Macaca mulatta: one gene and its partner. The protein of the gene in region 2 interacts with the protein of the main gene of each other region in a pairwise test. Links are inferred from orthologs where the notes say so. Each region holds a gene or a part of one and is shown on either strand. Other genes may lie near its edges. The genes, in order: MCM3 and MCM3AP.

What was found.
Region 1: the proteins of MCM3AP (region 2) and MCM3 interact in a two-hybrid assay, tested with the Homo sapiens proteins (2 studies listed by BioGRID). The link is inferred for Macaca mulatta from reciprocal best matches to the Homo sapiens genes MCM3AP and MCM3.

The regions. Positions count from the first base shown.
Region 1 is NC_133409.1:130,045,440-130,048,455, forward strand, and holds part of MCM3 (DNA replication licensing factor MCM3), read left to right. Parts: intron 1-7; coding exon 8-148; intron 149-1,112; coding exon 1,113-1,216; intron 1,217-2,064; coding exon 2,065-2,150; intron 2,151-2,626; coding exon 2,627-2,696; intron 2,697-3,016. UniProt on the Homo sapiens protein: Acts as a component of the MCM2-7 complex (MCM complex) which is the replicative helicase essential for 'once per cell cycle' DNA replication initiation and elongation in eukaryotic cells.
Region 2 is NC_133408.1:1,296,122-1,300,462, reverse strand, and holds the start of MCM3AP (germinal-center associated nuclear protein), read right to left. Parts: upstream 2,859-4,341; 5' UTR 2,578-2,858; exon of another isoform or gene 2,453-2,577; intron 2,350-2,452; exon of another isoform or gene 2,265-2,349; intron 2,205-2,264; exon of another isoform or gene 1,666-2,204; intron 1,343-1,665; 5' UTR 1,235-1,342; coding exon 16-1,234; intron 1-15. Other genes in the region: endoribonuclease YbeY, read left to right, coding at 2,859-3,068.

The DNA of each region.
Region 1 (3,016 bases), on a different chromosome or scaffold from region 2:
TCCCTAGACATCTCCAGTTACAGCCCGAACACTGGAAACTCTGATTCGACTGGCCACAGCCCATGCGAAGGCCCGCATGAGCAAGACTGTGGACCTGCAGGATGCAGAGGAAGCTGTGGAGTTGGTCCAGTATGCTTACTTCAAGAAGGTGAGGATTCAGATGGCAGGGTATGAGAGGCTCTTCTGAATAAATTACAGATGCATGGGCTTCCCAGCCTTCCATGACTGACAGCTACATTTGGATCGTCAACAGAAAGCAGTATTTGTCTTCCAGTGATCAGTCTGCCTCACTCTTTCCTCTGGAACACTCTGTGATTCTCAACCTTGACTGTACCTGAGAATCAGATGGAAAGCTTTAAAATGCTGATTCCAGGGCTCCTAGAGATTCTGGTTTAGTTGATGTGCTATACTTTCAGTCGGCTGCTTCTCTGTGTACTCCTACTTCCTTTGCATCTTAGAAAAAAAGTAGGTGTTTTCAAAAGGGCTACCTTGGTAATCTTCCTTGTCCCTCTGTACCCTTTCCCCTTGGTAGTCTCTTCAAATGTCCCATTGGCACCTCAGAAGCTCATGTTTAAAGTTGAACTCTCAAACTTGCCTCATCCTGTTTCCCAATTTCTGTTTGTGACATTGCATCTCTGTCATTTTAGATATTAAGCCTCAAAGCTTAGACTCCCTTTTCCTAGTTGCCCACTCCCGCCCCCGTCTGGTGAATTTTAGTTTTGGGGTTGAGTTGTGAGTCTGATAAAGTCTTCCTCACTTTTTGCTAGGTTAAGGGTTGTCTCGGATTTCAATTAGACACCTGATTTATAAGGAAATAGATTGTTTTCCACTTTACTATTATGTGCTAGACATTTGTTTCTTTATTCAGTAAACATTTATTGAGTACCTACTATATAAACAGCATATAACGTACTTCCCAGCATTTTAAAAAGGTGGGTAGCAGTCTCTACTTCTGCCCCTGGTCCTGGGACTTAGGGATAAGAGGAGCTAGGTAAACCATTGGAAACATGGAAGTCATTCCTGCTTATGGTGCAGAAGAGACTCGGAGTTCTCGATGCAGTTCCCCTGCATCAGTGACCCCTCCAGCCCACCCACACTTGCCTTGGTCCTAGGTTCTGGAGAAGGAGAAGAAACGTAAGAAGCGAAGTGAGGATGAATCAGAGACAGAAGATGAAGAGGAGAAAAGCCAAGAGGACCAGGAGCAGAAGAGGAAGAGGTAAGGTGGGGCAAGCAAATGAGATTAAAAAGTTGGTGGCCAAAAAGTTGGTGGCTCACACTTGTAATCCCAGCACTTTGGTAGGCTGAGACGGGTGGGTCACTTGAGTCCAGGAGTTTGAGACCAGCCTGGAAAATATGGCAAAACTCTGTCTCTACAAAAAGTAGAAAAATAGCCGGGCGTGGTGGCGGATACCTGTGGTCCCAGCTGCTCGGTAGGCTGGGGTCGGAGGATTGCTTGAGCCTGGGAGGCAGAGGTTGCAGTGAACCGGGATCACGCCACTGCACTCCAGCCTGGGTGACAGAGAGAGATCCCATCTGAAAACAACAAAAAAAGTTCCAGTGGGACTGGGGAGAGGAGTAGAGGGTAGAGGGTGGAATGAGCGCTGCTTATTGATGTCAGGTTGTTCATGGAGGGTGTTCCTAGACCTGTACGGTTTGTGGATGAAGATAACCTGGGTAAAAGAGAGACAAAGAGAGTGAGACCTTCTCATGTGCTTTTGACCCCTCTACTGAAGAAATGCTAAATAGTAGGAACAGCAACCCAACCACTGAGGGTTTTGAATATATACTTAAAAATTCTAAGGGAAAAACCTTCATGCTTATGGTTGAACTTATAAGGGTGAGTGATGTGGGAAAGAGCATTGGAAGCAGCGCCTGTTTGTGTTCTAGTCTGGGGACTTGGTCGTGTTTAGAACAAGCAGCAGTTTGCAAAGGCCTAAGCCTAGTGCTTCACTTTGACTTAGTGGTTCTGTTTCCTTTTCTCCATAGTTAGAAGCACAACATGGGGCTCCCTTGCCTTTCTGTCTCCAAACTTTCTCTCTCTCTTAACTGCCCTGGGTATTTTAGAAGGAAGACTCGCCAGCCAGATGCCAAAGATGGGGATTCATACGACCCCTATGACTTCAGTGACACAGAGGAGGAAATGCCTCAAGGTGAGTGAGCGCCCCTTAGTGATGAAGGAGGTTGTTCCTGTGACTCTTGGACTTTTCCAGTTGCTCTGTGCACTTTAGTTTCTTGTGGACTCTTGTTTGTTTGGCTCCCTGTTTGGGGCCTATGTCCAAGAGGTTTGTCCCAAGAGAGCTTCAGGGGAAACCCACAGTAAAAGCTTTGGAAGAAGCTTTGCTCTATTGTGTACACCTCCTTGATGAACTGTGCTGTGCTATACCTGGTATAAGCATTTCACATAATATGTATTTTGAGGGTCTCCTGCCTCACTAATTCCTTCATCATCCAGTGAAGATTTCCCTTTGTCCTAATTGTTCTGCCTGGCCCCATAAGAACCCTAGGAAATAGGAGTGTTCAGCAGGCTGAGTGAGGGATTGGGAGTGGAGATGAGTTCCCTAGTGTTTGTGGAAATGGCTTCACCTTGCTAATCTTCCCCATCTCTACAAACATCAACCCGCTGAAGTACACACTCCAAAGACAGCAGACTCACAGGAGACCAAGGAATCCCAGAAAGTGGAGTTAAGTGAATCCAGGTGAGTAGGGATGTTGCTCCTGCCCCTTCAAGAATTCTGTATCACTGAGGAAGGGACTTTTTTCCCTTGGAGAGGGTGGGAAAAAAACTGCTGGTTATCAGTAAAACACAAAGCTGGAGACCCGCGGCTTTTAACATTTTATATTCTCATTTAATTTCAAACTTACTGAAAAGTTACGAGAAAAGCATGAAGAACTTCTGGATGTCCTTTACCCGGAATCTTCAGTTGTTTAAATTTTACCGTTTGCTTTATTAATAATTCTCTCTCTAAGAATTTGAATTATGTCTGTGTGGGGTTAGGAAGAAGAGTTTTACAACAAG
Region 2 (4,341 bases):
ATTTTCAGAGCTCACCTTCTTTCTTCTCTCTACTTTCAGTTTCTTCCTCTTTATTCACACCTGGCATCCGGGAAGGTGCCAGGACAGACTGACTCCCTCCTGGGATAGCCATGTGGTCACTTTCTCCAGACTCAACAAATCCAATTTCCTTTTTGGCCTCCTTGTTGCCCAGACGACATACTTCCTTATTGCTTTTGAAAACATCCTGTATCGTCCGACCAAATAAAGTACCTCCCCGGGGTCGATTCAGGCGGACAGGTCGTTTGTCCGGAGGATGATCACCCCGGGACAGAGGATCCAAATCTTCTGCTGTCTCGTGGCCATGTCTCCTTGGGGAGCGATCCTGATCCTCCTTCCTTTTCATTCCTTTCATTAGGCTGGGAAGTGGTTCCACCTGGGAAACAGCTTCTTCACACCCCTGCCTGACACCTGCTTTGCTAGCCTGGAAAGGTTCGCCCAAAACCGCAGATGACACAGGGAAGCTGCTGAAGCTATTACTAGAACTTCCAAATATTGACTTAGGTCCTCTCTTCTCTTCCTCTACATTTTGGTTTGACAAAGCAGGGGTAAAGGCAGATAATGAATTATTACTACTAACAGGTTTTGAAAAGGTAAAATTTGAATTGGTAGCTGAACTACTTGTTACTTGAGGAAAAGAGAATGGGGCCAGGCCTCCAGGTGCACTACTAATTGGGTGGGAAAACGTGAAAAACCCAGAAGCAATTTGGCTCTGGGTTTTCTCTGGCTCAGATTCAGCCCCCAGTATTGGTTTGAACACTGCATTTTCCAGAGGTTTAAAGCTGAATTCTGTTTTCCCAAAACCAGAGTTCACTATTTCTCCAGCTTCTTGTCCAAAAGCAGAGGTGCTTGGGAAAGCCCCAACACTGGTGGGTGATTTAAAACTAAATCCTGGGTTTCCCAGCACAGATGAACTTGAAGGCCCAGAGGTAGCCACAAAGGTGGAAGTGTGCTCAAGTCCAGAAAAGGGTCCAACACTTGAGGATTGGGTGAACCCTAATGTTTGCACTGAAGAGGAATGACTTACTCCGGAAGACGCTGGAAAGCTGGACACCTGTGAAAATCCCGAGCTCTTCCCAGATAAGGTACTGTTTTGTCCAAAAAGAGAAGGTTGACCAAATCGAAATGGCGACTTAGATGGAAGTGTTCCTACATTACTAGAAGACGCTGAAAAAGCACTAGGCTGCTGCCCACTGAAAGGATTAGTTGGGTTCATCTTCTGTTCCAATTATTAGAAGGTAATAAGTATTACGTGTGCAAAATTAACTGGCTTCCTGAAACAGCCCCGTAGCACTAGGGAGCTCCCCTTCGTCTTCAGAACACGCTGAAAGACAAAAATTCAGATCATCACAGCTATGTTCTGCTACAAGACTAAGAAAAGAATTTTTGAACACTGTCACACTAAAAGATAACTATTTCAAAGGCAGGCAAAGGGCTATTATTTTCCGAGAGCCAACAGGTTATTTTGTTGGAGGGTGGAGTAGAGAGTGGTACAAATAATTACTTTGTTACAGAGATTTAAAGCGTGATCCCTTTAAGATTAAAAGAAAAGAAAGCCGAATAAGAAAAGAAAGCCGACTCTTTTTACTGAGTTAGTAAATTCATGAAAAACCTCCATTGGTAGTAAGAAGATAAATGCTGTTCCACCTTACAGCTTAGAGACGAATTTCTCCTGTCTTCCTCCAATCTCTACAGCCGGAGAACTCAGCGTAACGCTGCCTGGCTTCCCTCGGAGCGGCTGGAGCGCTAACCACTGTCTCACATTCCTTTATCGCGCCCTGGCGACCACCCTCGAGCCGGCTGGAAGGGCGAGGGCGCTGCCACGGAGCTGCGGCCTCTCGGCGGGGACGGCGTGCCGGGGAGCCTAATCTTCCACCCAGCACAGCCCGAAACGGCGGAGGCCGCGCGGTGGGCCCGGGCCGGCCTGGTCACTGTACTGCCCCGGGCTCGCCAGGGGCCGCCGGCGCCGCAACGCTCCGTTAGCGACGATGTGGAGGCCCGGGCGCGCGGACGTGCGCGGGGGAAGGAAACGGCGCCCCCGGCGCCGGCCCAGCCCCCACGCTCACCGTCTAGCCGCAGGACCCCGAGGCCCGCGCTGCCCTCGGGCCCCTCGGAAGGACTAGAGGCGCAAACACAGGCCGCTGCCGCGATACTCAGCGCTGCCCTCCGCGGGCAGGAAACGCCGCGGACCGACTTCCGGTTCGCTCGGCACTACCGTGTTCCGCCCCGCCCGCTGCGATCCGGTTCCGCTCTCCCCAACCGGCTCGGCGGCGGGGCTTCCGGTCGGGAGGGTCCGCCAGCTGTCGCGCCTTTTGCCGGGTCCAGACATCGGTACGTCTGGGCGGGTTTCTAGTCTCCCAAGCGAGAGCGTCGCATTCACCCCCGTCGGTCTGCGGGCGCCCCAGACCCCAGAGGACCTGGCCCCAGCGCTTACCTGTGTCCCCCATTCTGTGCTCCCCATTCCAGCCCGTTCCCTCCTCCGCAGCGTCCCTCCCCGGCCGCGTCCCTCCCCCGCACCCGCCGCGTTCTCGCGCGCCTCGCCCCGCGCGCACAGTGCACCTGTCCCTTCTCTGGGAACCGCTCCTTCCGCTCCGCCCTCCTGGAGTCCCGGCCTGATTCCGCGGCGTCCTTCCATAGCCCCTCGTTGTTGCATCCTCCTTGTGGTAAATGTAAATTACCTTAAGATTTTTCAATCAGTTCCACCAAATAAAGTGATTTGATTGCGTGTGCATGTGTATTTTTACAGAATGTGTTATCACTTGTACTGATTGGTCTTCTCTTACACCTTAACCCCAGGTTCCGTTGCAAACATTTTTAAAGGGCTGGTTATTCTTCGTGAAATGAGTTTGGTGATTAGAAACCTGCAGCGAGTCATCCCCATCAGGAGAGCGCCACTTCGCAGTAAGATCGAGATTGTAAGGAGGATTTTAGGAGTGCAGAAATTTGACCTGGGGATCATCTGTGTTGACAACAAGAATATTCAGCACATTAATAGAATCTACAGAGGTAGAAACGTCCCAACCGATGTGCTTTCTTTTCCATTTCATGAGGTAAAAAAAAAAAAAAAAGGGTTCCTCTTGTCTAGCCTACCTTCCCAGAGTAAATTTCCTGTCTTTTTTTTTTTTCTTTAATTAAGACGGAGTCTTGCTCTGTCACCCAGGCTGGAGTGCAGTGGTGCGATCTCGGCTCACTGCAACCTCCCTGCCTGCTTCAAGTGATTCTTTTGCCTCAGCCTCCCCAGTAGGTGGGACTACAGATGTGGGCCACCACACCTGGCTATTTTTTTTTTTTTTTTTTTTGAGACGGAGTCTTGCTGTGTCGCCCAGGCTGGAATGCAGTGGCGCGATCTCGGCTCACTGCAAGCTCCGCCTTCCGGGTTTACGCCATTCTCCTGCCTCAGCCTCCCAGTAACTGGGACTACAGGCGCCCGCCACCGCGCCCTGCTAGTTTTTTGTATTTGTAGTAGAGACGGGGTTTCACCGTGTTAGCCAGGATGGTCTCGATCTCCTGACCTCGTGATCCGCCCACGTTGGCCTCCCAAAGTGGGTTAATTTTTTTGGGGGGGGGTATTTTTAGTAGAGACAGAAGTTTCACCATGTTGGCCAGGCTGCTCTTCAACTCCTGACCTCAGGTGATCTGCCTGCCTCGGCCTCCCAGAGTGTTGGGATTACAGGCGTGAGCCACGGCGCCCAGCCTAAATTTCCTGTATTAATTATATTATAGGCTAGGCTCTGTGGCGCATATAAGTATATATATTACAGACATGATTTTTAATTTTAATTTTGAAAATTTCCAAATACACACAAAAGTAGAGAGAGCAGTATATTCAGCCTCCACTGATCGATGGCCGTCACCCAGAGGCCACAATTACACCGGTAAGCCAGCAGAAAAAGAAAGGTAACAGCCGGGCATGATGGCTCATGCTGATAATCCCAGCACTTTGGGAGCCCAAGGCAGGTGGATCACCTGAGGTCAGGAGTTCGAGATCAGCCTGGCCAACATGGTGAAACTCTGCCTCTACTAAAAACACAAAAAATTAGCTGGGTGTGTGGGGGGAGGGGCGCAGTGTGCCTGTAATCCTAGCTACCTGGGAGGCTGAGGCAGGAGAATCGCTTGAACCCCTGAGGTGGAGGTTGCAGTGAGCCGAGATCGCACCATTACACTCCAGCCTGGGCAACAAGAGGGAAACTCTGTCTCAGAAAAAAAAAAAAAGAAAAGAAAAAGGTGACTAGCGGCCACCCCCTTCCCCTCCTAATGCTCTCAGTGAATTAAAAGAGAGAAGCAAAGTGCTTCTGCAATATTTTTGCAATTTTAAGCGGGATT